2 linked regions of the Cricetulus griseus genome follow. The protein of the gene in region 1 interacts with the protein of each later gene in a pairwise test. Links are inferred from orthologs where the notes say so. Each region holds a gene or a part of one and is shown on either strand. Other genes may lie near its edges. The genes, in order: Ptpn21 and Bmx.

Region 1 (3,819 bases):
AGTGCAGTCAGAAAGGGAAGATAAAATAACCCAAACCATTGTCTGAAGAAGAAAGGAAAGAGTGGCAGGATCGTCATAGATCAAGCAGCACAGAGACAGAAGGCAGAAGCCTTGTCCCATGGTTGGAGGGGCTTTGGTTCAAGTACAGATGGGTATAGAAGAGGGGGCAGGAATGGGACAGTCCCAGAGGACACTGAACTCCACACCACAGCTCTGTTCTGCTATCGCCATCCTCAACTCTGCATAGAAGGCCACAACTAGAAGTGCAGTCAACACGCCTTCTTCCTGTCCCTTCAGACCTGTGCCCTACAAAGTGGGCAGTAGACCCCACTTCCAAACAGCCCCTCGCTTCCAATACCACAGCACTCACCAGCCCACAGCAGCAGACCCAGGCGTAGACCTGCCTGGAACTGGTGATGTCCAGCCATCCCACTAGATCCAGAAAGCTCTTCTCAGTGCCCCCAACAGAATGGATAGAATGCTAATGCGTGTTCTCTTAGCAAAATAATTGTGATCAGATGATGAGCAAAGGCCTGATTTCCACAATTAGGGTCCAAGCCTCTTTACACAGAACTGCTCATCTGCATCCACATCTCGGGCGTTCTGTGGTTAGAGCTTACAGACAAATGGCACACAGGTGGTTGAGATTCAGCATGGAGGCATTGCAGTGCACACACAGCTGAAGTGGCAGGAACAAGGAATTATAGCATTACAGTGAGATGCTTCAGGCAGGAAGAAAACTAAACTGTCTGGATATCTTTGGTGGTTGCCTGATGTGGTGGCACATGCCTATAACACATCGCTTGGAGACGCACGCTGGAAAATCACAAACTTAAGGGAAGCCTGGCCTAAATAAGACTAATGGGGGAGGGCTCCAGGACTCAGAAACCAGCTTAGTGAGCTGCCACTGGCTACATTTGGGGTCAGCTGAGCAACGCTCGTTCACGAAAGAACCTGAATACAACGGCTTCTTCTGGGATTCCAGGATGGCTATAAACAGGACAGTTTGGGGTACAACTGTAATAAGAAGGCATCTAGACTTCAAGATCTCTAGGTCTTTACGGAGTTACTCATAGCTATAACTGTGCGCAGCTTTGCAGACTTGGTGTACTTTACCTTGGGAAGAAGCAAATGGCTCTGAATAATGTCCATTATAATGCAGCTGGGGTGGGGGAGGCATCGCATAGGGCTGGGGTTTAGGCTAAGAAATGGAAAGTTGGACATAGAGTTAAAACACATTGCCCATGTCAAAAAGGTAAAGTCATTCTTTGCTGGACTCTTTCTCCTCACTAAAAAGACCTTCTACAGATGGTAAATGTATTATAAATGGAAAATAACTACAAAAATGAAGGAGGCCTTAGCATATCTGTCATTTTCAATGCATCCCACGTGACAAAGCCAAGCCTTAGGCACTGACACCGAGGATACTAGACAGCACAAGGAAGTCTGCATCCAAAAAGTTATGAACAAGAAAGAATAGATACAAATCTCCTTGTTGAAACTCATCAGTAGAAAAAGCTCTTATGTGTTACAAACCCTTTAAGACAAAGTCAAGTACATTAAATACCTACTTAGGATTCCAGGCTAGCCAGTTAAAATTCATAATATGTGGTTGTATCTAATATTTGAACAAGTACAATAAATATTAAGTTGGACTTATGGAAGTCACTATTTCTTTGGATAAAAATTCTCAAACACACATTTGTGGTTCAAACTCGACATACTGCCCAAAGCATATTGCAATTGAAGTGGCATCACAAGAGAGAAGAGGTGACCATGTTCCTTCTCTTACCAGAGACATCCTGGAAGATGAGCCCCTCCTGACTGGGTTCAACGTGGCAGTCTGAGTTTGCCTGTGGGAGAAGACAACTGTGAGCCCAGCACACACATGCTTCCTAGTCTACAACAATAAGCCAGCTTTAGGAGGGAAGCCAGTGTGGTGGCTCACACCTGTAACTCCATCATGCAAGAGGCTAAGGCGTGCTGGGGTTTGAGCACGGCTGTGATGCCTAATGACACCTTCACAGCTGGACAGCCTGGGCAAGAATACATCTTCAGAGTGTAAAGTACAGGAGCCAGTGATGAACAGAGGCAGCCATTCTTAGCCACTGGCATCTTGCTGGCAGCGTCCAGTGGGAAGGCAGAAGCAGAAGCCAGTTCTGCTGAAAACGAAACAAAGGGTACCACATGCACCCGCTGCACAGGCTGACCTAGGCAACCTTGCCACTCGTTTGTTCTAACCATCTGCCTCTTTTTTTCTCATTGCTCTTCTAAGTGCAGCTCAAGGAAAGGCCAGCCATCATCAACTTCCCACACAGAGGGAAAGGACTGCTGGCTCTGCTGCCCAGTCGCTTAGGATGCTTTCCGGGCTGGTAAGTAACACTGAGAAGTGAGGCCACTAACGCTCCTGGGATCAATAGCTAGAACGTGTGCACTGGAGAAGATAATGAAGAGGCTGTCAGCTCCGGTGAAGTACATGATATTGCTTTGTGAAACTGGCCAGACTGCCTGTGGTTATCTCGTGGAATCTGAACGACACCATCAGGGAGGTCCAGTCATCAGTTTTACAAATGAGGAAAGTGATACTTAGATTAAGTAGATCCCATTTGGTCACATGGCAAACAAGTGACAGAACCAGCATTTGAACAGGCAGGTCTGCTGGATGCCTGAGTAGAGTCCCTGACAGTCATTTTTCTTCTGATGTCCCTAACCCCAACTAACTCATAAGCTCCACGGGGGAAAGGGAAAGAAAACCCACTGTACGACCAGTGGGTCGTACCCAGCACATGCCTGCATACAAGCAGCCCTCAACTATGTGTTGAGCACATGAATGGCACAGTGGACGGGGACAGAAATCAATACTCAAGAGAATATTTCTCAGGTGAAATGTCTCAAGCACATGCATGTAAACCTAGTAATCCGAGTTCAAGTCCTGGATCCCACAAGACGTCCGGAGAAAACCAACTTCCAAATGCACTCCCACACACACTAAATTAACCTATTAATTTAAGACTGTTTGAGTTATCTCCCTTGCACTGTGAGCTTCTTTTCAGCTGGCCATTGGTTTACTCATGGCTAGCAAAGGACAGGCTTTGATCATGTGTCAGATGGTGGAAATACCTCAGGATGTCTGTCTCATTGACTTTCCTCCTGTGATTTCCTTAATAGGGTGATGAAAAACAAAACCTCCCCTGTTTTAGGGTAGGCCAGAGGTACATATCCAGGCCACCATAAGGTCACTGGATTCCTGCCCCAACTTGTCACTGTGGGCAAGCAGAGATAATCCCCAGAAAACAGGCAATATTGATGGCTAAGGGATGACCCCACTGCCAGTCATCTACCCAAGTACCTGCACAGAAAAGGAAGCTGTCTCACTCCAACACCAGGAGAACTCCCTGTCCTCAAGCCTTACTAGGGAGAGCAGGAGACCCACCCCACTTTGGGGGCCTGTGACAAGTCCCTCTAATCCCCCCTACAACTTCTTACCACCCTCCTCCTTCCAGGTTCTGAAGGACTCCAGCAAGTCCTCTTCAATCTTCTGGGGCCCCGTAAACTAGAAGTGAAGGAGGTCCTGCATCTTCTTCCAGTCCCTGGAGCCAACAGTCGGTCTTTTGATCACAGGAGATGGGCACTGGCTGCTATGTTCACCTACAACCTTAAACTACAAGGGCTAGCTCACTTCACTGCGCTCAGCCACAGCATGCTGCTGATTCCCTAGAGAAAGGCTCTTTCCCCTCGCTCCCCAACTTGACTTTGCAGACTAGAGGGTACAGTCCACACAGAAAGAAGAAAAAAAGCCACTAAACCAGAAGTTTCGTG
Region 2 (3,819 bases), on another chromosome or scaffold:
CTCTAGCAGCCTGTTCACAGCTTGATATTATACAGGCCTCATCCCAGAAGTAGATTGGGTGATGGAGACTAAGAAGCTGGGTTTTGAAAATATCCTCAGGTAATGCTGTCAAATAATTAGGTTTGAAAATTCATGATATAAGCCAATTCCTCAATTTGCAGACTAAAAAGTTGAGAGGTGGATTATGTAAGTGAAAAGTTATCAATTCTCAAATCCAGAATTCTTTTGCAGCTGGTTTGCTGGGAATATCTCCAGGTCACAATCTGAGCAGTTACTGAGACAAAAGGTAACTCTCTCTCTCTCTCTCTCTCTCTCTCTCTCTCTCTCTCTCTCTCTCTCTCTCTCTCTCGTGTGTGTGGTGTGTGTGTGTGTGTGGTGTGTGTGTGTGTGTGTGTGTGTGTGTGTGTGTTAGTTTGTTAAATGTGCATTCCTACTACTAGGCTACATCTTCAGCCCAAGAATACCTACCTGTCTCTGCTGTTTCTGGCTGGGCCCAGTGGTGAATGTATTCTCTGAGAAACATTATAGCTAATGTTTCAACTCTCCATGACATTGCCTGTCCATCCTTTGAGTTACTAGGGTCTCCTTTTGCCTTATCTATTGCTATAAATTAAACCACCTCAAGCTATAGGTGACACTCCAGTTACTGAGTGGCTTGCTGTCCCTTTGTCATGTACTCAATAACCTTTTCTTTAAAAATAAACCACTGCAAAACTCAGTGGCTTGAAACAAGATTTTGGATTTCTCACAATTCTGTGTAGCAGCTGATCCAGTTCCATGTTTTGCTGATGGATGGTTGAAGGTGGGTAGCTGAGACTCTCAACTTGGGTGCCACAGTCCTTCCTTATATAGCCTCTCAAGTGTCTGGTCTGGGCCATTCTCACAGAATAGAAAACCTTCCAAGAAGGGACTCTCTGCTTTAACAGCATTGACTAGTGTCCCATTGGCTACAGCAAGTCACATGACCCATCCCAAAGTCAAGGTGTGAGGAGACATCATAGAATCACCAATAGGAAAGATGATTCCATTTTTCAGGACTGGAGATGGAACCCAAATGCTAGCACATACTAGGCATGCTGTCTTAGTTACTTTCTGTTGCTGTAAAGGGACACCATGTCCAAGGCAACCAATATGAAAAAGAGTTTATTGGGATTTTGCTTACTGTTTCAGAGGGTTAATCCATGACCATCTTGGTGGAGAACATGGCAGCAGGCAAGCATGATGCTGGAGCAGTAGCCGAGAGCTTACATGTTAAGGAAGCAACCAGGAGACAGAGAGCCAACTGGAATGGTGTGGACTTTTGAAACCCAAATCCCCCACCTCCAGTAACATACCTCCTCCAAAAAGGCCATATCTCCTAATCCTTCCCAAACAGTTCCACCAACTGGGGACTAATAATTCAAATATGAGCCTATGGGGGTCATTCTCATTCAAAACAACACACATGCTCTCTACTACTGAGCTATATACCCTAAGCCCAAGAAAAATGACTTAATGTGAATTATCAATGTAATTATTTTCCTCAGCTGTTTTTCACTGTACATTAGTACCAAAACCACAGCACAGCAGATGTTATATGGAATTAATTTATTTGATTTTATTGCTAATTGGTATGAACTTGCCTGTAGTAAATTCTTTTGATCTATGAAATTGATATTTTGGTACAATTCAGTCTAATAAAACACTAAATACACAAATTACATTTTGAGATGTGCTGGATAGAATGTGATAGGTTACATGGCAAGTTATTATGTTTATAATTTATCATGTTTTTTAGGAACCTGGTATTGGTTAAAATTGGAATAAACCCTTTCAAAAGACAAATAAAGGGTATAACTTTAGTAAAGAATTTATTGTTCATTGCTAATTTTCTCAGACATTTCCAGAATTTGATTATAGTGGTGTATGCATGCATGTGGGCGCACACGCCTAAATTTTATTTCTCAAACAGGGAAACATTAAGCTTCCATAAGTAGAAAATAAAACAAAAATATTAGAGAGTTGCCAATTATCTAGAGAAGAGATAATTCGCCTAGGATGGGTCTATAAAGATACAGACTTGGCTGAGGATAAAACTCAATGGTAGAACACTTGCTTAGCAAAGGTAGGGCCCTGGGTTCCAGCCCCAGTACCAAAAAAGAAAAATGGAAGAAGGAAAGAAGGGATGTGAAGGGAGGAGGAATAGGGGAAGAGAATTGAGTGAAAAAGAAAGAAAGCTAAACTGAAGGACAATCCTTCTGTGCAACTGTTGGGTAACCTGTCCCTTTGGTGGCATTTAAAATGGATCTAAAATTATTTTTTACTTACTGCCTACATAAAAATCATTTTCAAAGTAATGAAAATCATTTCTCATTTTCAGGGAAAAGAAGGAGCATTTATGGTTAGAAATTCCAGCCAGATAGGCATGTACACGGTGTCCTTATTTAGTAAGGCTGTGAAGTAAGTACAATGTAGATTCATGTCTTTTATCCTCTTATGACTGTTTGACAACAATGACCACTTAGTCATAGTTTGAGATGTGACACCACTCTTGAACTCTGGAGTTTGAGATCAAGGTATTTGTGTTGAATCTAACCATTAGCCATTGCCTTCTTACCCTCTACTTTCAAAAGTGTGTGCTCTGAGTGACCCTCTCCTGCCCACTCCAGATGATGGCAGAGTGCTGTGAACACAACACCCCCCCCCATAAACGTTTGCTGAAACAGCAGCATGAGCCTCTTGGAGTTAGGCTTGAGCAGAAAGAACAATAGAAAATAGCAATAGCACTTCTAAATAAAAGATAAACCTGCCTGCTGAGCTGAGAAGCTTGTCCCAGTGCCCGGTTCTCAGTGAGCCTTTCCTAGGCCGTTGAACCAAGGGAGCTGTGTTATGAGTAGCTTCTGCCTGTCTGCTGCCCTTGGCAGGAAAGAGTTCTAGCTCAAAGTCAACAGCTCTTCCCAGTTCAGGCCTTTACTATATTGAGCAAATTTCTTAACTGCTCTGGACCTGAACTTCCTCATTTGAAAGGGATTCATAATAATGATCTTTAATGCATTCAAAGCAACAAGATGTTGTTAAATAAAACAGCAATGGTTACTGAAAATTAGGCCTGTGACCAATTACACATGATTAAAATTACTTCCCACATTCACATCTGTAGTCCTTGTCGAAAGATTGTGTGTCCATCAAACAGGAAGCCACAGTGTTTAAAATCACCAACCTAACCATGACTTTGAATTGGCCAAATGTAAACTAAAAGCCTTCATTAAAGGGGTACAATTTTGTATAGCTTAGTATCTGTAGTTTAATGAATTTGGATTGCTGTGCAAAGGCTGGCATTATAATTACTAGCTACTTGAATGTCTTTTTAATGTCTTTTATGTAATGTTTTAACAGTGCTAATAAAAATATGGGTTTACCTTTTTTAAGAATGATTTTTTATGTTCTAGGAAATAATTTAATACACGTATTAGATTAGGCTACTGTCTAACACATAGTGACACCTAACTAAGGAACAGTCACTGTTCATGGTGTTGCTGAAAGAGTAGTCGTCCTACTCTTGCATGCCTGACACTTAGGTGTGTAAGGGTTTTGAGAGTCATCTGTCAAAGTCATCATCATCAGAAGCCCCTCCAGAAGATGGTTTTCTTGAGACAGAGACTCACTATGTAGCCTCCAACTCTTAACTCTCCCACCTTTGTCTCCTCAGGGCTGGGATTACAGGCATACACCTTCCAGAGTTTTATAAATCACTTTCCTGGGGGCTAGTACCTCTTTTATTCCTTGTAAAGTCCCTCCAGAGTAAATAGGAATACTGTTCTTATTTCTCCCCTTTACAGG

What was found.
Region 2: the proteins of Ptpn21 (region 1) and Bmx interact in binary tests that used the Homo sapiens proteins (3 or more experiments, as listed by UniProt). The link is inferred for Cricetulus griseus from reciprocal best matches to the Homo sapiens genes PTPN21 and BMX.

The regions. Positions count from the first base shown.
Region 1 is NC_048598.1:106,994,217-106,998,035, reverse strand, and holds part of Ptpn21 (tyrosine-protein phosphatase non-receptor type 21), read right to left. Parts: intron 1,854-3,819; coding exon 1,793-1,853; intron 1,202-1,792; coding exon 1,117-1,201; intron 1-1,116.
Region 2 is NC_048604.1:99,280,894-99,284,712, reverse strand, and holds part of Bmx (cytoplasmic tyrosine-protein kinase BMX), read left to right. Parts: intron 1-231; coding exon 232-286; intron 287-2,359; coding exon 2,360-2,439; intron 2,440-3,819. UniProt on the Homo sapiens protein: Non-receptor tyrosine kinase that plays central but diverse modulatory roles in various signaling processes involved in the regulation of actin reorganization, cell migration, cell proliferation and survival, cell adhesion, and apoptosis.